6 linked regions of the Oryctolagus cuniculus genome follow. The main gene of each other region encodes a partner of the protein of the gene in region 3 in a complex. Links are inferred from orthologs where the notes say so. Each region holds a gene or a part of one and is shown on either strand. Other genes may lie near its edges. The genes, in order: STRAP, GEMIN2, GEMIN5, GEMIN4, SNRPD2 and SNRPD1.

Region 1 (2,726 bases), on a different chromosome or scaffold from region 3:
AAATTTCAAAAATTCAGTACTTTTTTTTTTTTTGACAGGCAGAGTGGACAGTGAGAGAGAGACAGAGAGAAAGGTCTTCCTTTAGCCATTGGTTCACCCTCCAATGGCCGCCATGGCTGGCGTGCTGCGGCTGGCACACTGCGCTGGATCCAAAGGCAGGAGTCAGGTGCTTCTCCTGGTCTCCCATGGGGTGCAGGGCCCAAGCACTTGGGCCATCCTCCACTGCCTTCCTGGGCCACAGCAGAGAGCTGGCCTGGAAGAGGGGCAACCGGGAAAGAATCCGGCGCCCCGACCGGGACTAGAACCCAGTGTGCCGGCGCCGCGAGGTTGGAGGATTAGCCTATTGAGCCGTGGCGCCGGCCACTTAATTTCAAAATTAGGAAACAACGTTCACTACAGATTCTTCAAGCAAACTGCCTTTTGCTATGGTTACAATGTAGAAAAACGTTCAGGCTATTTCTAGATATATCTATCAGTTTTTCCCAAAGAAACAAACACTCTTTTGTTTTAGAGACATTTTATTTAGACAACTAAAAACAATTAGATGTTCTGAAGCAGGTACAATGAAAAGAAATCAAACCAGTTACTTTATCATGTATTCCCTCTTCTTTGCAAGTAAAGAAAAGGAAAAAAAAAAGCATTCTGCTGTAAGGGAAAGTCAGAAAAATAGGCCAATATATTTTTCTTTTCCATAATAACATAAACAGCTACAAGAAATCTAATTGTAATAAGAGAAATTGGATGTTGGCTTGCACATATTCATTAAAAAGACAACAGGCTGTTGTATTATAATAGCATAACTCCACCTGCCTTCGTCAGATACTCCTGAGTTTTCACTTACAGGTAACACCACGTTAGTAGTTCCGAAACTCAAGCTAATTCATATTCCCCATTATTTACTGCTGTGGTTGTCCTAAGCAGAGAGTAACTCTGGGAGGCTGACGCTATTCTCTGCTTGCTCATCTTAGTCCATAAACTGTATATTATCTGTGGCAAATGCTTCATGCTCAGGCCTTTACTTCAGGAGTTGAAGAATAGATGGAATCTGAATTCTCTGAAGCAATTTCTTCTACAATTAAAAAACATACATTAGTTTAACAAAGAAGCAACTATAAAATTCTATATAAAAAGTAAAGATCTTTTGAAGAAGAACTGTGGTGAGGGAGGAGAAAAAGTGAACAACTACACATGTCTTCAATGACTAAATTCATGCCATTGAAAAAACAAGGAAGAACACGTTCATGGTTACAATCGTAACTTAACTTCTACGGGTCACAGTTTCTGGACTAAATTTTCAACAACTCTAGCTATCCAATGAACACTGAATTAAAGTCATCTCTTTAAAAGATATGGCTCTTTCCTTTAGTGATTCAAACCTCAATATTTAATGCTATTCAAAATCAAAACATTAACCATCAAACATTAAGTTTTTTACAAAAAAATACTTAATAAAGAAAAATTCCTCGTAAATGCTAAATCTCTTCCCAAGTTCCCCCTTCAATCATCACACCCAGTTTGTCATGCCAGCAATCTCGAATCTTTCTTATCATACTTCCAATGTACATCTAATAAACTTACCAAGTTTTATCAATTCTAAAAGAAATGACTCTCCTTCATCTACCTTTTTCTGTTCTCAACGCTGTTCCCCAATTCTAAACCAAGGATTGTTCATCTAGAATGCAGTGACACCTATCTGGTCTATGTTTACTCTTGTTTCCACAATTTATTAACTATTATTATTCTTAAAATTCAAGGGTTTCTCATTGTACTTGGAATAAAACTCGAGTCTTAAAATAGCAAACGAGGCTCTGAATGATCTAGCTTCTCCAGCCACACTATGCCCTTGCTTTTTAACTGGAAACAATGAATTTCTTGTGGTTCCTCCTATGCTGTGCTCCTTTCTGCTTCTGAGCCTTTGTTTCTTTCATGCTGTTAACCTCCCTGCCCTGCTCATACTACCTATGTCACTCATTACCTTAGTCATTCTGCTAATCCTCAGGTCCAAGTTTAAATGTTACTTCTCCTAGAAGCTTTCTCTTACTGGCCTTAAAATTGTGGTCATGTGTCTAAATACTGTGCTAAAACAACATCTGTCTCCTAGGTTATACTCTATAACAATAACATGTCTACACTGTACCTCAGTGCCTACTACATAGTAAACACCTACTACATAAAGACTTAGTTTATAAAAAAGTACATGTAAATATGTAACTCTATAAACCTTCCATTATTAAATACTTCTATGTTCACATTTAGGATTCTTTTTCCAATGAGTATATAACAAATGAATGACTGAAAGCGGTCACTCTAATATTAGAGTTTACCTAGCTCCTCTTCTGCTGTCTCTGGGAAATTGATCTTCGGCTTGGCCAGCTCACCACTGTCTTCTTCTATGGAAAGATAAGCAATGATGATTGATTATGGCAATGATGGCTGATGATGTCAATATCTCAAGTAATTTTTAGTCCTTAATAAGTAAGAAGAGTAAGATAAGATTACAACAAGCAATGAGTTACAAAATACAATAGGAAAAATTCCTTTTTATATAACTGTGGTTCTATAATAGTATGTCTTTTCTCAAAAATTACTTTTAGGTTCTCACTGTAGCTACTCTGGGATCAGTAATCAAGATATCATGTCTACCTTTTTGGCAAGGATCAGTAATACTATTCAGAGATTAGATACATTTACCTGTAAATTTTTTATATTGTCCACAAGTAAATTTT
Region 2 (4,242 bases), on a different chromosome or scaffold from region 3:
ACAGGCGTTAGGTTCAATGTTAGTGTTATAACTAGAATCCATGCCTTTGTAAGGTACATGTAAAACTAAGATGAAGAATAACTAAGATCTAAGACAAAAAGTACATTTTGCAGTTACACAAAAGTAGGCCTTTCACTGCACTATTTATGTCTTGGTTTAAAATGTAAGAAAAAAGATCACTATATTTTATTTAATAAGAGAAATCTGGAATGGTTTATAGTTGGGAGTTTCTAGGAAATTAAATGACATGATCTCTGGAGATATAATCTAGGCCTACATTTCTATAATAATAAAACTGAAACAAAAATATTCAGAATAAAGAGTTTTGGTATGGACAAAATGAACTCAAATAATTTGAAGACATGACTTTAAAAGAAGTCTACTTTTGTTTACCAAAAGAGTATATAGTCCATAATTGATCACATAGGACTGTTCTGAAATAAAACTCATTAGGGTCACTTTTTTAAAGTAAGATACATACTACATGTTCCACAAACTAAAAAACTTATGAAAAGGAATTATATGAACCCATTAGTGTCTGATGAGGAGTGGGTAGGCCTCACAGCTAAGATGCCTGTGTCTTACACTGGTGTGCCAGGGATTCACTCCCTGCTCTGGCTCCAAACTCAAGCTTCCTGCTAATGCAGACCTTGGGAGACAGTGGGGATAGCTCAAATAATTGGATTCTGGCCTCCAAGGTGGGAGACCAGCATTGTACTCCCAACTTCATTTCAGCCCAATCCTGGGCACTTGGAGAGTGAACCAGTAGATGGAAGTACTCCCTCCCTCTCTAACAATAGTAATAACAAATTAATATTTAAAATGTTCATAATTTTAAATATCAGATAAAGAAATTGCTTAGAATGTAGAAAGAAAAGGATATACCAGTATAAAAATTTAAAATGCCATTCTTTATTTGGTCTTCGGTTAAATATAATTTAGATATATCTAAATTAGATAGACTTTCCATGACTATTCCAACTAAAGTAATTCTCCCTTCTCTCCTCCCCAAGGTTTATTTATTTACTTGAAAATCAGAGTGACAGAAAAAGAGGGATAAACAGAGACAGAGAAGATAGAGAGATCCTCCATCTGCTGGTTCACTCCCCAAATGGCCCCAACAGCCAGGGCTCGGCTGGCCAAAGCCCAGAGACAGGAGCTTCTTCCAAGGCTCCCACATGGGAGACAGGGGACCCAGCGCCTGGGCCATCCTTTACTGTTCTCCCAGGTGCACCATCAGTGGGGCAACTGGGACCCAAACTGGTGCCCATATAGGATGCCAGCACTGCAGACAGTAGCCTAACCCTTTGCTCCACAGCACTGGCTCCTGGTTTATTTCTCAAAAGATGGCAACAGCTGGGGCTGGGTCAAAGTTAGGAACTCCATGCAGGTCTCCCATGTGGGTGGCAGGAACTCAAATACTTGGGCCATGATCTGCTGCTTCCCAAGTGTATTATTGGGAAGCTGGATCAAAAGCAGAGTAACCAGCACTATTATATGGGTGTCCCAAGCCGTAGCTCAACCTGCTGCACCACAATGCCCACCTGGGCTCTCTCTTTTATTATCATAGATGTTTATTTTCTTCACTGCAATATTCACAATACATAATTTTAATTTTTGTTTGTTTACTCCAACTTCTTCAGAAGAATGTAAGCTCTATCAGGGTAGGCATCTTTTATCCCTTCCTGTATTGTATTCCCAGAGCCTGGCACAACCTAGTCACAACAAAAACAACTAACTTTACTTTTCCTACTTGCTGAATAAATAAATAAAAGTGTCCATAAGTAGAAATGCACATAACTAGAAAAGCCTAAGAGATCAGCTTTCTATTCTTAGAAAAACAAAAACCAGCCAAATTCAGAACATGCAAACTACACTAAATAAACACCAGAGAAGTAATTATGAAAACGTAACTGGAAAAAGGTTCCTTAAAAATAAAAGTGCAAGTAGCCTATTTAAAGGCTCCTTAGGTATTGGGTCACGTCCCTAAAGTAAGATGAGCAAGTCTTCATATAAACTCCAGGTCACGAAAAGGTTCTTGCGAGGCGGCAGAGGCAAAGCGTGCAAGCCAATGCTTAACTCCAGAGGAAGCAGTCAGCTATCACGTACACCACAGTCGACACTCTCGGATATTATAAGAATGTGTGTGTCAGGGAAATCCCCATAAGATTATAAAACTCACAGAAACATTCACACTCTGCTTCCTTTTCAACTTCTTTGGGTCAATCTGAGCTACCACAACATCTGGACATTGAGCTGCTTCGATCCTACAAATAAGCAATAAATGCAAGAAATTTAATTACTATCGCGCTTTGTTCGCGTGCAGTAAAACAAGCGATCCACTTCCACAGTTCATTAGGAAATTAAAAATCCAGAATTCCAACTGGGGTACTAAACACGGGATGTCTGACATTATCTGGATTGAAAGCAAAGAAATCCAAGAACACACATCTCGGTATCCGTTATCAAGTTAAAAGGAAACTCGCCACTTGGGATGTAACCCAGAGATGCGGAGCATAAACTGGGACAACAGGGACGGGACTTTTTGGCACCACGGGCCCTGCCCAGCGGCAGGGGGAACGATGAGCCCACCCGTACGGGGCCAAAGCACTCACTGGACCCGCCTCAGGTACTCCTGCGGCGTCCTTGGGGGTACCGAGGGATCGAAACCCTCCGTCAAGTCGCAAGGCTCCACCGGCAACAGCCGGGGCATCAACTCTTCCACCGCCGACTCGGAAGAAGGTACCCACGCCATAGCTTTCAATCCAGCCGGTCCCTCCCTGCGCATGCGCCTAGTCTAGGTCATGGCGCAGGCGCACAAGTAGGTGTATTTTGGCGCGCTGCAGAGCCTGCGGCAGTTTAGAAAGCGTAAGTGCGCATGAGCAGAGGCACTACTTGCCTGGAGGTTAAGGCTTCAGTGGGAAAGTGAGCCGCAGGTTTGGTTCCTGGAAGTTGTCCTAAAGCGGTTTTCGGGTTTTCACATCGTGTTTTCTCGTTTAAGGCTGGAGTAAAGACTGAGGGTTATTAACTTCTATTCATCCCTATTAGTGTACGATCCTTAAACGCTTTAGGATCAAATCACGTATTTGCATAATTATCATTTTTGGAGCTCTAAATTCTTAAACCCCAGGAAAATCGTTTTATAAATTTCCTCATTTAATTCTCACAACAACCCTGTGAAGAAGCTAGTATTATTTCGGTTTCGAGGGGGAAGAAATCGACATAAAAAGTAGTTAAGTTCTACAACTGTGATTTTCTTCCAAGCAATTACAATCCTGATACCAAATGAATGAAAAATCTCTTTGCTTAAATACAAATAATCAAAGGATAAAACTAGCACCAGCATTCAGAAATTACCATTATTAATATTAGGTCAATCCTGTGAGGTGGTTGCTATTATTATTTTTATTTTATAGGTGTGCAAACAAGACAGAAATGAATTAAGTAACTTGTTCTGAGTCACAAAGTGCAAGAAACAATGGAAGTATTATATCTGATCTTTTGTAAACAGACTCTGAGGGAATACAATTGACCTTTATTTTTTAACGTGTATACTTTTAAGACTTTTTTTTTTTTTTTTTTTTTGGCACTGCCTTTAGCTTTCCAACCAGGATGTAACTCATTTAATTGAAGATAAAGGGAGAACAGTTCTTAAAAGAGCTAAGAAATTAGTAGTACTTACCAATTGTAGCTACACAGTTGCTGTCAAACTGGAAAGTTATTTGATCAAAAATTTTTCACTGGGGTGGGCATTGTGGTGCAGCTGTTAAGACGCCGCTTGGGTCATCTACATTTCATATCTGAGTGCCTGGTTGGAGTCCTGGCTACTCTGCTTTGGTTTGATTTCCTGCTAATGTGTACCTTGGGAGGGAGAAGGTTATGGTTTAAGTATTTGGATCCCTGCCATCCACGTGGGAGACCCAGAAGGAGTTCCGGGCTTCTTGGATCTGTCTTCAAGCAGGCCTGCCTGTTGGGGGCATTTGGAGAGTGAACCCATGGATGGAAGATCTCTCTCTCTCTCTTTTTCTATTCTCTCCGTTTTTCTCTCTATTCCCCTCTCTATGTTGCTCTGCCTTTCAGATGAATTAAAGATTCTTTTTTCACTGATTTTGGGAAAAACAGACTTAAAGAGAAGAGAAATGGAGACATCTAAGTGTTCCTGTCCCCCAATATTTGGGTGATAAGAAGAAATTTGAAAAAATAAGCAATGACTTCATTTTTGGATTTTCTTACAAATACTTT
Region 3 (3,500 bases):
TGGCTCTAAAAATTCTGAGTTCCATGCATATAAGGCATTTTCAAGAAAATGGATATTCTGAAAACTATGGGGGAAAATGGAGAATGCATATTCTGAAAAAACTACACATGGATTTCAAAATACTTGAAATTAACTTATGTTTCATTCTGTTTTCCCATGAACATTCTAAAGTACTCTTGTATATCTAAAGTTTATCCATAAAAATGCCTAAAAACACACAAAATTGGTGGATTGGGGGGGGTAGAGATGATTAGATCATGGTAACTTTCATTTTTTATTAAAAATATTAAATTCTTTGTTTTTCTCTTGAAATTGATTACAGTTAGAAGAAATGTCCATTTGAATGGTTGGAGCCTAATGTAAGGACTCCCTTAATGGCATGTCCCTCTTCTCATGTATTCTTATTGGAAACTTTTTTTGTAGCTGTGCTGGCACCCAAACAAGGAAGGTTGCTTAGCTTTTGGAACTGATGATGGAAAAGTGGGATTGTATGACACCTACTCCAGCAAGTAAGAAATGTGTGATTCTCTTCAGCCTGTTGACCAGAATATCAATGATGAAGATCAAAGTGGCATGAATGGCTTTTTTGGAATAAGATTCTGGCTCTGAAACTGAGGTTCAGAACTGAGAATTTTATTTTAAAAAGTTTTCAGGTGGTAGTATTTCAGCACATTTGATATTTGGTAACCACTGAAATAAACCATTATTTTGTTTTATGTGAGTTTTCAAGCATACATTAAAGTCGTAAAATTGGTAAAAGAATATCCATGTCCCTTCTATCTAGATTGATCAATTAACATATGGCCATACGTGTTTTATGTGATTTTATATGTGTTTTATCTGAAACATGTGAAGCAAGTTATAGTTCTCAGAATAAGGACATTCTATATAACTATAATATCCTAGTCACACAAGAAAATTAATAATTTCATAATATGATCTTATATATATAATGAGGTGCTTTTAAAAGTTCATAAAAATGCATATTATGAAAAAATTATGCATGGATTTCAGAAACTTTTTGTTCAAAACTTTTCTGTGAACTTTTCAAAATACCCTCAAGTTATAGCTCACTTTAGGTATCTTTTTTTTTTTTTAAAGGTTTATTTTCTTTATTTGAAAGAGTTACAGAGAAGTAGACAGAGAGAGAGAGAGAGGTCTTCTATGCGCTGGTTCACTCCCCAAATGACCTCAACGACCAAGTCTAGCCCAGGCCAAAACCAGAAGCTAGGAGCTTCTTCCGGGTCTCCCACGTGGGTGCAGGGGTCCAAGGACTTGGGCCATCCTCTGCTGCTTTCCCTGGCCATAGCAGAGAGCTGGATAGAACATGGAAGGGCCAGCACTGTGGCGAAGCAGGTAGAGCCTCCACCTGCACCACTGGTATCCCATATAGGCACCGGTTCAAGTCCTGGCTGTTCCACTTCCAGTCCAGCTCCCTGCTAATCTGCCTGGGAAGGCATCGGAGTATGGCCCAAGTGCTTGGGCCCTTGCACCCATGTGGGAGACTCGGAAGAAGCTCCTAGCTTTGGATCAGCCCAGCTCCAGCCACTGCAGCCCTTTGGGGAGCAAATCAGAGGATGGAAGACCGACCTCCCTCCTTCCCTCCCTCCCTCCCTCCCTCCCTCTCTCTCCCCCTCTCCCTCTCTCCCTCTCCCACTCCCTCTCCCTCTCCCTCCCTCTCTCTCCCTCCCTCCCCCTCCCTCCCCCTCCCCCCTCCCTCCTTCCCTCTATCTGTAACTTTGTCTTCAAATAAGTAAAAAAAAATTTAAAAAGTGGAGCATCTGGCACTCAAACCTGTGCCCATATGGGATGCTGATGCTTCAGGCCAGGGCTTTAACCCACTGAGCCACAGCACTGGCCCCACTTTAGGTATCTTATACATAGCTGTTCTAGAGGTTTGATGAAATTGCAGACCCGTGCAATTCAGTTTGGCAGCCAGTAGCAATATGTGGCTATTTGTACTTAGAATAGTTATAATTAAATAAAATTAGAGGGGCTAGTGTTGTGGTGGGTGCTGGCACTGCTGGCATCCCATACTGGAATGCTGGTTTAAATCCTGGCTGCTCTGCTTCCAGTCCACCTTCTTGCTAATGTACCTAGGAAGGCAGCAAAGGTGGCCCGAGGCTTGGACCCCTGCCACCCATATGGGAGACCGGGATGGAATTCTAGCTCCTAGCTTCTGCTTCACCCAATCTGGCTGTTGTGGCCATTTGGGAAGTGAACCAGCAAGCAAATGGAAGATCGGTCTTCTGTCTGTCCTCTCTATCTGCCTTTTAAATGAATAAATAAATAAATGTTTATTTTAAAAACCCTGCTTATTCTATTCCTTTTAGCCAAAGAAATTTTGGCTCATTATCTAGATTGTTCACTATAAATAAGTCAACAACTAGCTTGGTGATAGTTCTAGAATTCTAAAGTCATACAAGGGATATAATTTATATTAATAGTAATAACAGTGCAGCCCTTTGTTCCCCATGTCATTATCACCATAGTGACCTTAGAAAATATTCTTAAATGCAAGCCTTCTTTACGAGAGAATCAAAAACTACCAGTCTGTCCACCCTGAAATCTTTCAGTTTAAGATTGGGATGTTAGTCTCACTGGGTAAGTCTGAAAATGACTTCTGATCATCTCCATGAATATAAAATAAGGTGAATACATTTGGTTGATAATGATAAATGCTTAGCAATAACCCTAGTTCTGGGCTCAGTGGTATGCATCTTCTGAATTGACACATGGAAAAGACAGCCTATTTTTCTTTAGTTGTGATAACCTTTATGCTTCTGTAAAACTACAGTAATATTGGAGTACTTGACACTTAATTGAAGTGGGCTTTTCAGAATGAGAAATGAGGAAAATGATCCCAAACTGGCTGGATGGGTAGGAGTAGCATTTTTTTCTGGGTAAGATATCTTTAAGACTTCATCATTTTGGTAGCAGAAATCATTATGTAGTTTGTTGTAGTCAAATAGATAGATTAAGATATTGTTAAATTGTTTTTGTCTAATAGCAACTAATTATATAATAGGGACCTTTCAGAAAAATATGGTCTGTTTTACACTAAAAATTTTTTTTAAAAAATCTTTCTGTTTGTCCCCCACCCCATAGACCTCCACAGATTTCCAGCACATATCATAAGAAGACTGTGTACACGCTAGCCTGGGGGCCACCAGTACCCCCCATGTCACTTGGTAAGTGTTTGGGCCATTCTGTTAACAACTATGAGAGTATTCCCTTTTCTTTCTATTAAAGCTGAAAAGAATTCTAAATGCTCTAGTGCAGTGACTGCTTATGTAGTCTGCTGTGTCCTCTAGAGGTCTATAAAGTAGTAGTGGCAGGTCATAAATTGGCCTTGGTGGGAGAAGCCATTCCCCCATGACCCTCCCCAGTCTCAAAAGGAAGCACAGTTCTACTCTTGAAACTGAAATTCTTCATTGTACATAGAGTCAGCTCATTCTGGGTCCTGACCCCAGTCTACTGTTCTTCACTAAAACTTGTCA
Region 4 (4,228 bases), on a different chromosome or scaffold from region 3:
ACGGGTCTTTATCAGGTCCGTTACTTCGGGCCCAGGAACTAAATTCAGACTGCAAACACTGCTCACTGTCCAGCACTGACTCCGCCCCTTCCCAGGACCCAGAGATGCAAGCCCTTGCACAGTCCCCCAAGCCCCAAGAGCACCTCTTCACCATTTCACAGGGCAGACGCCAGCAGAGAAGATGCTGAATGGGGAACACTGAATCACACAGCCCTGCAAGGGCGGCGGAAGGCCCAGGGAGGAGACTCCCCCGCGCCCTGGCTGGGAAGGCCCCCCGCGCCTAGGCAGACCCCCTCCTTCAGCGGAGGAGCTCAAGGATCTGCCTGGGGCAATGGCTCTTCTCTCCAGCCACAGCTCTCCCACAGCCCCAAAGTATGCTCCCTACTGAACACTCTGGCCAGCACCGGGCCAGGCTGAAGACAGCAGCTTCATCTGGGTCTCCTCCCACTGCTCTTCCCAGGCCATCAGTCCGGAGCTGGATTGAAAGTGGAGCAGCTGGGACATGAACTGGTGTGGCAGGCAGTGGCTCTGCCTGCTACGCCAAAATGCTGGCTCCTCACCTGTGACTCTTCTCGGCGCGCTGCGCCGATCCGAAGCCAGGAGCCAGGTGCTTCCTCCTGGTCTCCCATGCGGGTGCAGGGCCCAAGCACTTGGGCCATCCTCCGCTGCCCTCCTGGGCCACAGCAGAGAGCTGGACTGGAAGAGGAGCAACCAGGACAGAACTGGTGCCCCAACTGGACTAGAATCTGGGGTGCCGGCGCCACAGGCAGAGGATTAGCCTAGTGAGCCGCGGCGCCGGCCAACCTGTGACTCTTCTCAGTGTAATTTTATCGCACTATCAGCTCAGCAGAGCAGATGCGTGGTCCCCAACAGACACAGGAATGTCCAAGTGCTCCCTGAACAAGCCCCAGGAACAGTTAGCAACTGGGAAAAACCCAAGTGTTTTATCACTAATGGTTAACTGGTGCCCACTTCTGATGTTTGCTAAGTGCCCGCGCACACCAGGCACCGTGCTAGCTGGTACACATGGAAGGTCTCTTTTAATCTTCAAAATAACCTTCTGAGGACTATTCCTGTTTTAGAGGTTGATGTTCAGGTATTTTGCTCAGGGTGTCACCACCACAAAGCAGTGGCACTGTGACTTAATGGTTTGAGGCCCTCCCCACCATGCACCTGGGAAAGCAGCGGAAGATGGGCAAGTCCTTTGGCCCCTGCACTCACGTGGGAGACCTGGAAGAAGCTTCCGGCTTCAGCCTAGCTCAGCCCCAGCCATTGCCGCCATTTGGGGAGTGAATCAGTGAATGGACGATCTCTCTCTGTTTCTCCCTAACTCTGCCTTTCAAATAAATAATTTTTTTTTTTTTTGACAGGCAGAGTTAGACAGTGAGAGAGAGAGAGAAAAAGGTCTTCCTTTTTCCGTTGGTTCACCCCCAAAATGGCCGCTATGGCCGCCGTGCTGCGTCGATCTGAAGCCAGGAGCCAGGTGCTTCTCCTGGTCTCCCATGCGGGAGCAGGGCCCAAGGACCTGGGCCATCCTCCACTGCCTTCCCGGGCTACTGCAAAGAGCTGGACTGGAAGAGGGGCAACCAGGACAGAATCCGGCGCCCCAACCGGGACTAGAACCCAGGGTGCCGGCGCCACAGGCAGAGGATTAGCCTAGTGAGCCACGGCGCCAGCCTCAAATAAATAAATCTTAAAAAAAAAAAAAAAAAAATTCGCCACAGCTGCAGGGATGCCCCTTCCCAATCTGTCATTCCACCACCACGAGGAGCTGGCTGGGGGACAGACTCAAACCCTGCTCCACACCATACTACTATCAGCGTTTCTCAAGCTGCCTCCCGGGCTCAACCCGAGTTTAAGGGCATATCCCACAGGTGGGGACACTTGGCAGGAGCCACTGACTTCTATTAGGTCCTCCCTCCCTTTTTTCCAGACCTTGCCAGGATTCTCAACCAACAGGCAGGCAGGTTCAAAGAGCACCATATTCCAAGTGGGACACCCACGTCCCAGACCCAAGTGCCCGGGTTCGAATCCCGGCTCCGCTTCCTATCCGGCTTCCGGACCATGTACACCGGGGGAGGCAACAGGTGATGGCTCAAGCACTTGGGTGCCTGCACCCGAGTGGGAGACCTGGACTGAGTGCCAGGGCATCTGGGCACTGAGCCAGCGGATCCCAGATCAGAAGAAAGCAGGGCTTCCGCAGCCGCGCGCCTCCGCCCAGGCCCCGCGGCAGGGGCACTCCGCACCCGGCGATCCCAAAGTTTACTCCCGGCCACTCGGCGAGGGCGGCGCGGTGTCGTCACACCCACGTTATCCGGCAGGGAACGCCAGTGGGTGAGCAACTCGCTGAGCAACTCCGCGGACGCTCAGCTAGCGAGGCCGGCATGGCCCCCTGCACGTGCGCTAAGCCCGTCGCTCCCGGGACACCTCGCTTTACCGCCGCTCCGCTTCTCACGTACGACGCGGGACCGGAGGGCGCAGGAGGCCGGCTCAGGAGCGCTGCGCCCGGCCTCGCCGCCGCCCTCCCGCTCTAAGGACGCCCTGGATCCTCCTCAGCCCCTCCCGACCACGAGGGCCCCAGGAGCCCGAGCCCGAGCCCGCCGGGCGTGCGCGGCGGGAGGCGGCGCGTCGCGGGCCGGCCCGGGGCAGCGTAACCGGGGCACCCACCTAGGTCCATGGCGGCGAAGCGGGAGGTGGCGCGGGGGGCGCCAGGCCGCCCCTCCCCCTCGAAAGCCAGGAGCGCGGCGCAGGCGCCACCGCACAATGGGCGGCGCGGGGGGCGGCAGGCCCCGCCCACGGCCTCTGCCGCCGCTCTCGCGCCGTTCGCCGCCGACTCCCGCCGCTGCGCGCGCACGCGCGCTCCTCACCAGAGAGCTCGCGGCGCCTTGGCCGCCAAGCCCACAGCGCCCCCTCCCGGCCCGAGGCCTCCCTCCAGCCAGCAGGCAGGTTCCGGGGGTCTTCCTCTCCCGCCGCGTGCTCCGCCGGGCCACCCACCTGGCTTCCTAGGTCCCAGTCGGTGCTGTGCAGGAGCCCCCGGCCTCGTAGTCACCGTCCCGCAGGACAGGAGCGCGGGTATGTCCCGCACACAGTTCACCCATACTGATAAAAACATGCACCTGAGGCCGGCGCCTCGGCTCACTTGGCTAATCCTCCACCTGCGGCGCCGGTACCCCAGGTTCTAGTCCCCGTTGTTCCTCTTCCAGGCCAGCTCTCTGCTGTGGCCAGGGAGCGCAGTGGAGGATGGCCCAAGTGCTTGGGCCCTGCACCCCATGGGAGACCAGGAGAAGCACCTGGCTCCTGCCTTCGGATCAGCGCAGCGCCGGCCATAGCGGCCATTTGGGGTGAACCAACGGAAGGAAGACCTTTCTCTCTGTCTCTCCCTAACTCTGCCTGTCAAAAAACAAAACAAACAAACAAACAAAAAAACCATACACCTGAACAGACACAGTGCCGTCTCCCTTTCCTTTCTAGCCAAGACCTCGTTACTGGCCTCACGTGTTTCTAACTCTTCCCCCCGCAGCTCCTGCGCCGGCTAGGAAGGCCAGAGGGGCCGCGCCTCAGGCATGGCAATGTGCCAGGTAGAGTTCGAGTTGGCGTGCGCGGCCGTGAAGCAGCTGAAGAACCCCATGAGCGATCAGGAGAAGCTGCAGCTGTACAGCCTCTATAAACAGGCCACCCAGGGCGACTGCAACATCCCCGAGCCTCCTACGTCGGAAGTGAAAGCCACGGCCAAGTGGGAGGCGTGGAACAAGAATAAAGGCATGTCCAAGATGGATGCCATGAGGAACTACGTGGCCAAAGTGGAAGAGCTGAAGAAAACTGAGGCTGGCTAGGGAAGCGGCACGGCTCCCCTGGCAGGGAGTGTGCTTCTCCAGTGCCCTGGAGGGGGGCGGGGACGGCTGGGCATCAATAAACCCCTTAGACCACGTGCCTGCGACTGCTCGTGGAAGGGGGGCTTGGGGCCGAGAAGCCCACTCCCCTGGCTCTCCTCTCGGCATGGTTCTGAGTGCCCGTCCCAGCCTCCCATGCCCAGAACATGGGAGCTGTTTGTCAGGGCTGGGAGGAGACTCATGGCACACGCCTGTCCTGAGATCAGCAACTTGGTCTCTAGAGAGGCTGTGGCCCTAGACCCCTAATTTCTTCAACTGACCAATAACCCAACACTAAGGGAGGGGAACAGGGCTCTGTCTTCCAGGAGCTCCACGGAATACAGCCGGGGAAAGGCAAC
Region 5 (3,966 bases), on a different chromosome or scaffold from region 3:
GCCCCTCTTCCAGGCCAGCTCTCTGCTGTGGCCAGGGAGTGCAGTGGAGGATGGCCCAGGTGCTTGGGCCCTGCACCCCATGGGAGATCAGGAAAAGCACCTGGCTCCTGGCATCGGATCAGCAGCGCGCCGACCGCGGCGGCCATTGGAGGGTGAACCAACGGCAAAAGGAAGACCTTTCTCTCTGTCTCTCTCTCTCACTGTCCACTCTGCCTGTCAAAAAAAAAAAAAAAAAAAAAAAAAAGGCTAAGAAGCCCCCATCTTCCAACACATGTGATGTTTCAGTCACACCACACTCCTGCGGATCTGTGACCACCAGGGGGGCGGTCCCTGGAGGGAGGGCGCAGGAAGGAGATCGCCCGTCATCAGGTGCCTGTTTGAATGAACCCGCCCCACCTGCACACACTGCGCATTCAGTCGCGGGTGGGAGGGGCTGAGGGGGCAGGCAACAGCCCGCTGGCCGCAGTGTTCTCAGGCCAGGACCAGCAGAACCGGGCGGCAGGAGAGCGCCTGGAAGGTTCTCCTGCAGGACCGAGCCCTGCCAGGGGCACCTCTGCAAGGCTGTGGGCACCACAAAGGACGGCCAGGGGCACGGTGAGTGCGTGAGTGAGACACCACAGAACACACGGGGGCGGCGCTGTGGTTGGTGGGCTGACGCCCTGGCCTGCAGCGCCAGCATCCCACAAGGGTGCCGGTTCGAGGCCCGGCTGCTCCTCTTCGATCCAGCTCTCTGCTGTGGCCTGGGAAAGCAAAAGATGGCCCAAGTGCTTGGGCCCCTGCATCCACGTGGTAGACCAGGAGAAGCTCCTGGCTCCTGGTCAGCTCAGCTCAGTGAACCAGCGGATGGAAGACCTCTCTGTGTCTCTATCCATAACTCTACCTCTCAAAATAAATAAAATATTAAAAGCCTGCCTGCGTGCTACCCCCGGCTCTGGCCCCACTGTGGACATCCGGGGAGTGCCCAGCAGGTGGGAGCTCTCTCCGTCTCTCCGCTTCTCTTTCAATGAATGAACCAAAAGGTGTCCTGTGGCCAGGCACTTCATGCGTGTTAAGTCACCGCATCTCTGTATCCACCGCGACGACTGCCTGCCACTGTGCGGACAAGATAACGGCACGCGCTGAGGGTCGCCTGGCCGCTCAGAGGGACAGCACAGCAGGGGCCGGCTGGCGCCCACCGCAGGGCAGGGCGGGAGGCGCGGCCTCGGAGGAGCCCCGCCCGCAGGCCCCTCCCTCCCGGGCCAGGCCCCGCCCCCGGCCGCGCACCTGTCGAAGGCCTTCACGCGGCCCAGCAGCTTCTTGTTGTTGCGGCAGTTGATGAGCACCTGCGTGTTGTTCTTGACCGACTGCGTGAGCACGGAGAGCGGGCCCGTGTTGAACTCCTCCTCCTCCCGCTTCTGCAGCTCCTCGGGGGTCATCTCGCTCTTGGGCTTGTTGAGGAGGCTCCTGACGGGGGAGGAGGGACCCGCGGGTGAGGGGAGGAGCCGGGGCCGCCCCCCAGCCCTGCCGGCCTGGTCTCTAGGCATCAGCACCTGGAAGCCACCAGCCATCCCCAACCCCGCCCGCCCCGGCTCAGCTCCCGCTAGGCCCCCTCCCCAGCCTGCTGCACCCAGGGCACACCACTCCCTGGGGGGTAAGTCCGCCCTTCTCATTGGCCGGGCAGAAGCGGACGTCCACTCCTCTTTCGTCTCCCACGGCAACTCGGACAGCAGCCACTGTCAGGACTTGCTCTACGGCGCCCCCACCTTCCTCCCCCTGGCGTCTGACGCCCACTGCCCCACAATCGGACGCTTGTCCCTCGGCATCCACAGGGGGCTGGTCCCAGGATCCGCGTTGCCCGGGTCCCGGAAGCCTCAGCGGCTCGGATCCCTTAGGTGGGATGGCGGGGACGCACACACACACACCCTGCGCACACCTCCCGCTCGCTAAGTCATCTCCAGGTTACAGCGTAACGGGACCTGACTGTGCTGCGACCCCGTGGAGCCCGGGCAACAGTCACAGGAGAAAGGCCTGCCCGGCCACTCGGGGCTGGCCAGCCTCGGTGTTCAGAACAGCACTCGGGCGCCGGCTTAAAAACCAGCCTGCCGTAGTCCCGCTCGGCAGGGCCGAATCAATGCGTCTGCCGGCCGTACCCCTCCCCCCGGCCGGCTGCAGAATCCGACCTCCGTGCCAGGGCTACCTGCACCCAGGGGCAGCCTGGGGGCCGTGCGCAAGCCTAACTCACGGCAGCCTCTTCGGAACCCTCCCAGGGCCCCCGGCTGAGCCTGCAGCCCCAGCCGCGGCGTCGTTGCGAATCAGGCCGAGCAGCCACGGCCCCCGGCCCCAGCTCACGTTCCAAGCCCCTCGCCCCCAATCGCTATGCCTAAAAGCCCGCGCCCGCTCCCCGGCTTCTGTAACTCGAGAAGCCGCTTCTTAACCTTCACTCCAGCGAGCTGATGACGCGGAGGAGCCGCTGCCCGTTCTCTCACAGAGCTGGCGGCCCTCGCGGACTCAGGGTCCGCCAGAGGCCCCGGGGGCCGGTCCCACGCTCATTACAGAAAATTCGCCCGAGAGCTCTGCTCCGCCCCCGGCGCTGCCGCCCCCTTCCGCCGCTAATCGGCCGCATTCGCACCCACAACCTCACGCCCGCCGCTTAAGCCCAGCCCGGCCTCACATGGTGCCGGCCCCGCGTTCGGGTCACTCTCACTCCAACCTCCTCCGCGTTGCTTCTGCCTCTGCGGATGGAGCGCGAGAGGGGCGGGACTTCCGCTTCCGGCGGGCCACTTCCGTGGGCGCCTGCGCAAACCCACCCGGCGGGCTGGGGCGTGGCTTGTTGCCATAGCGACCCCCGCCGGCTGCGCAGCGAGGGGGCCGAAGCCGCGAGCGGCAGTTCGAGGCCTTTAAGGACCACAGCGGGCAGGTGTTCATCGGGATGGAGAGACCAAGACAGAGAGTCCGAGTCGCGCCGCTTCGTGGTAGAGGCGGGACAGGCTGCAGGAGGGAAACGGCCAGAGGTTTCTAAATGCCCGCCAGCCCCGTCTCCGGGGGCGCGGCCTCCACGAAGCCAATCCGGTCCCGGCTTCGGGGCCTGACGCCTCGCTGGATCTTCCCGTCCCGCGGAACCAATCCCTTTCCGCGGCCGGGCGCTGCCCATTGGCTTTACCCGCTCCGCCGGGGCGGGCCGCACGCCTTCGCGTCCCCTCTGGGGGTTGTGCAACCCCTCTGGGAGCCAATCGCGACACCCCGGGCCTCCGGGGAGGCTTGTCCTCGGGAGCTGCACCCGGCTCGCCGGGCCGGGGTGGTGCCCGGCGCTCTTGTCGCTCATTGGCTTTGTGATTCCATGGGGTGGGACTTGGCTGGGCCTGAACTCCATCCGCGGTCCCTGGCCGGTTTCAGGGCAAAGCTGCCATGCGTCCCGGGGGCCGCGGGCGGCCCCGGCCCCGGCTCGGGGAGCGCGGCCTGATGGAGCCGAGCTCGCCGCTCAAGCGCCGCCTGCTCCCGCGGGCGCAGCTGCTGCCCGTGCTGCTGCTGGCGCTGGCCGTGGGCTCGGCCCTCTACACGCTGTGGGGCAGCTGGCACCGCAGGACCGAGGAGCTGCCGCGGGTGAGGCTGGGCGCGGCGCGGGCACTGGAGGGCCCTCTCTCCCCGCTTCCTCTTTCCGAGTTTCGGTTTGACGTGGCGCTACCTGGGGCCCTGGCCGCAGGTGCCACCGGCTGCCTCCCCGGAGCGCAAGCCCCCTCCCAACGCGCCCCCTGGAAAGAAAGGCTCCGGAGTCGTCAGGATGAGGGTTTTGGGTTCCACGCCCGAAAGGCAACTCTTGGAAGCCTCCCTTCCCCTCGCTGGGCTTCGGTTTCCATGTCACGATCGAGGGGTAGGCTAAACCGGGTGGGCTTGGAGAGACTTTGATCCTGGAAGTCTCCCATGCCGCGGAGGCACCCGGGCTTTTGGGGGGAGGGAGCAGTGCGCTCATTCTTCTCTTCTTTAGACGCC
Region 6 (2,348 bases), on a different chromosome or scaffold from region 3:
TCTTCCAGGCCAGCCCAATGCTATGGCCCGGGAGTGCAGTGGAGGATGGCCCAAGTGCTTGGGCCCTGCACCTGCATGGGAGACCAGGAGGAAGCACCTGGCTCCTGACTTTGGATTGGCACTGTGCACCGGCTGCAGCACATCGGCCGTAGCGGCCATTTGGGGGGTGAACCAACGGAAGGAAGACCTTTCTCTCTCTCTCTCTTTCTCTCACTAACTCTGCCGGGGGGGGGGGGGGGGGGGGAGTCTGTCTACTACCCAGAGCAACAAAATGGAAGGGGAGAAAAGGAGAAAAGATCGGAGGTGATGGCAAGAGAACCCTATGCCAAATCTTTAAGGAATTTCATAATATCAGGAATAGAGTCAATCTGTAAATCTTCTAAAGTGGCAAGAATGGGAACCAGGTCATGTACTAGAAAACAGGAAATAAAAATACCAATCTTTTTTACAGTAATATCAGGAGCTACAATAAACAGATGCACACATGACAAGAAAATTCTAAAAAACAACAAAACCTCCTGTGCTGTTGCCAAATATTTGTATTCTGAATAGAGTATAAGTACACCATTCACAAAAGCATATATAATCCCTCGAACTTACCAGCTTCCCTTTTCTTAGATTTCACCTTGGGTTCAACATCCACAAGTAGTGTATCCAGAGGTAAACTGTCCGGTAGAATAAAATAGCGAATGTTATTCCCTCGAATACTCAGTGTTTCCAGCTGTACAGGTTCTCTGTTCTTCAGGGTCATCTTCACGGCTTTAAGATGCGTATTCATGCTGACATCTACACCTGGAAGGGAAAAAGCAGGACAATTACTAGCGCGAAAAGGAAGGCAACCAATTAATCTATGAAGCCATGGTAAATACTATATTACAGATGAGAACCATTTGCTACAAAGGAAGTTTCCATAACACAAATTAGCACATATGCAATGGGTAAATGGAGGAGGAATGTCAGCCTAAGTCTGTATTCATTCCTTCCTAGAGGTTTTGCCAGTTACATTTGCAGAAGTGAATGAAGAAAGCCTGGTGGAAACCTGCCTGTTACACATGCTTTATGCCCACCAACCCAAGGATCCTCCTCCTATCTTAGGTTTGGCCAAGTATTTATGGCAAGATTCTTTAAAAAAAAAAAAAAAAAAAAGTGTCATATATTGTCCCCATAACTTCATTATATTGCATTCCACCATGTTATCCTCACTTTTAAAAAAAAATGTAAATTTATTTGTTTGAAAGGCACAGCAACAGAGACAGAGAGATTCTCCACCTGCAGTTTGATTCCCCAAACACCCAAAACAGCAGGGCAGGGCCAGGCCAAAGCTGGGGACCTGGAATTTCTAGGTCTCCCATGTGGGCAGCAGGTACTCAAACACTTGACGTATCATCTGCTGCCTCCCAGAATAAGCATCAGTAGGAAGCTAGATTGGACTAGGATTTGAATCAGTCCCAAGAGGTAGTTTAACCCACTGTGCCACAAAGTCTGCCCTACTATTCTCACTTTTCTTTTTTTAAAGATTTATTTATTTTACTTAAAGTCAGAGTTACACAGAGAGGAGAGGCAGAGAGAGAGAGAGAGAGCGCGCGCGAGCGAGCGCGGGTGAGAGAGAAATCTTCCTGTCGCTCCCCCTCTTCGTGGAGGAACGACACTAAACCCTGCCTAGGCTTCATATCCGAGTCACGGCACCATTATGTCGCTCCCCCTCTTCGTGGAGGAACGACACAAGACCCTGCGCTGTTCTTTCGTCTGCTCGGCCCTCCCCGGGTTTGCTGCTGGTTCTTCCCGGGTTGGCTACTATCCCTTCCACCTCCGTGGAAGGGCAGTTCCCCCTGGCCACATTCCCCACTTCCGCAGGGGAGCGGCACACCGCCGGCCGGCTCTTCTCGGGGGCTGCACAGGTGTTCCTTCAGCTAGATGTTCCCCTTAGATGTTCCCCATAGATGTTCCTGGTGCATGTTGTCTCTCTCCTCCTTTATAGTCCTTCCACCAATCCCAACTCTGCTACCCACACGCCGAGTACGCTGCTCTCCTCCAATCAGGAGCAGGTCCCACAGTTTATTGGTTGAACTGGAGGCAGCTGAGTAGAAGCTGTTTCCCTTCTCAGCGCCATATTGTGGGAAAGCAGATGCATAGAATAAGTCTTAATTCCAGTAACTTAGTCTAGTCCGAGTTGCTCCCAGTTGCTCCCCACACTTCCATCCGATGGTTCACTCCCCAATTGGCCGCAATGGCCAGAGCTGCGCCAATCCAAAGCCAGGAGCCAGGAGCCTCCTCGGGGTCTCCCATGCGGGTGCAGGGGCCCAAGGACTTGGGCCATCTTCTACTGCATCCCAGGTCACAGCAGAGAG

What was found.
Region 1: GEMIN5 (region 3) and STRAP share a complex: the UniProt entries of both Homo sapiens proteins name them as parts of the SMN-Sm complex. The link is inferred for Oryctolagus cuniculus from reciprocal best matches to the Homo sapiens genes GEMIN5 and STRAP.
Region 2: GEMIN5 (region 3) and GEMIN2 share a complex: the UniProt entries of both Homo sapiens proteins name them as parts of the SMN-Sm complex. The link is inferred for Oryctolagus cuniculus from reciprocal best matches to the Homo sapiens genes GEMIN5 and GEMIN2.
Region 4: GEMIN5 (region 3) and GEMIN4 share a complex: the UniProt entries of both Homo sapiens proteins name them as parts of the SMN-Sm complex. The link is inferred for Oryctolagus cuniculus from reciprocal best matches to the Homo sapiens genes GEMIN5 and GEMIN4.
Region 5: GEMIN5 (region 3) and SNRPD2 share a complex: the UniProt entries of both Homo sapiens proteins name them as parts of the SMN-Sm complex. The link is inferred for Oryctolagus cuniculus from reciprocal best matches to the Homo sapiens genes GEMIN5 and SNRPD2.
Region 6: GEMIN5 (region 3) and SNRPD1 share a complex: the UniProt entries of both Homo sapiens proteins name them as parts of the SMN-Sm complex. The link is inferred for Oryctolagus cuniculus from reciprocal best matches to the Homo sapiens genes GEMIN5 and SNRPD1.

Annotation. Positions count from the first base shown.
Region 1 is NC_091440.1:113,735,126-113,737,851, reverse strand, and holds the end of STRAP (serine-threonine kinase receptor-associated protein), read right to left. Parts: intron 2,391-2,726; coding exon 2,325-2,390; intron 1,070-2,324; coding exon 1,008-1,069; 3' UTR 501-1,007; downstream 1-500. UniProt on the Homo sapiens protein: The SMN complex catalyzes the assembly of small nuclear ribonucleoproteins (snRNPs), the building blocks of the spliceosome, and thereby plays an important role in the splicing of cellular pre-mRNAs.
Region 2 is NC_091443.1:36,529,034-36,533,275, forward strand, and holds the start of GEMIN2 (gem-associated protein 2), read right to left. Parts: upstream 2,801-4,242; 5' UTR 2,789-2,800; coding exon 2,616-2,788; intron 2,268-2,615; coding exon 2,183-2,267; intron 1-2,182. UniProt on the Homo sapiens protein: The SMN complex catalyzes the assembly of small nuclear ribonucleoproteins (snRNPs), the building blocks of the spliceosome, and thereby plays an important role in the splicing of cellular pre-mRNAs.
Region 3 is NC_091437.1:41,797,243-41,800,742, reverse strand, and holds part of GEMIN5 (gem-associated protein 5), read left to right. Parts: intron 1-423; coding exon 424-509; intron 510-3,108; coding exon 3,109-3,191; intron 3,192-3,500. UniProt on the Homo sapiens protein: The SMN complex catalyzes the assembly of small nuclear ribonucleoproteins (snRNPs), the building blocks of the spliceosome, and thereby plays an important role in the splicing of cellular pre-mRNAs.
Region 4 is NC_091448.1:46,442,130-46,446,357, reverse strand, and holds the start of GEMIN4 (gem-associated protein 4), read right to left. Parts: upstream 2,801-4,228; 5' UTR 2,678-2,800; coding exon 2,668-2,677; intron 1,707-2,667; exon of another isoform or gene 561-1,706; intron 1-560. Other genes in the region: diazepam-binding inhibitor-like 5, read left to right, coding at 3,564-3,833. UniProt on the Homo sapiens protein: The SMN complex catalyzes the assembly of small nuclear ribonucleoproteins (snRNPs), the building blocks of the spliceosome, and thereby plays an important role in the splicing of cellular pre-mRNAs.
Region 5 is NC_091449.1:11,275,662-11,279,627, reverse strand, and holds the start of SNRPD2 (small nuclear ribonucleoprotein Sm D2), read right to left. Parts: upstream 2,801-3,966; 5' UTR 2,653-2,800; coding exon 2,651-2,652; exon of another isoform or gene 2,415-2,650; intron 1,444-2,414; coding exon 1,264-1,443; intron 1-1,263. Other genes in the region: QPCTL (glutaminyl-peptide cyclotransferase-like protein), read left to right, coding at 3,385-3,579, 3,962-3,966. UniProt on the Homo sapiens protein: Plays a role in pre-mRNA splicing as a core component of the spliceosomal U1, U2, U4 and U5 small nuclear ribonucleoproteins (snRNPs), the building blocks of the spliceosome.
Region 6 is NC_091441.1:56,025,113-56,027,460, forward strand, and holds part of SNRPD1 (small nuclear ribonucleoprotein Sm D1), read right to left. Parts: intron 793-2,348; coding exon 601-792; intron 1-600. UniProt on the Homo sapiens protein: Plays a role in pre-mRNA splicing as a core component of the spliceosomal U1, U2, U4 and U5 small nuclear ribonucleoproteins (snRNPs), the building blocks of the spliceosome.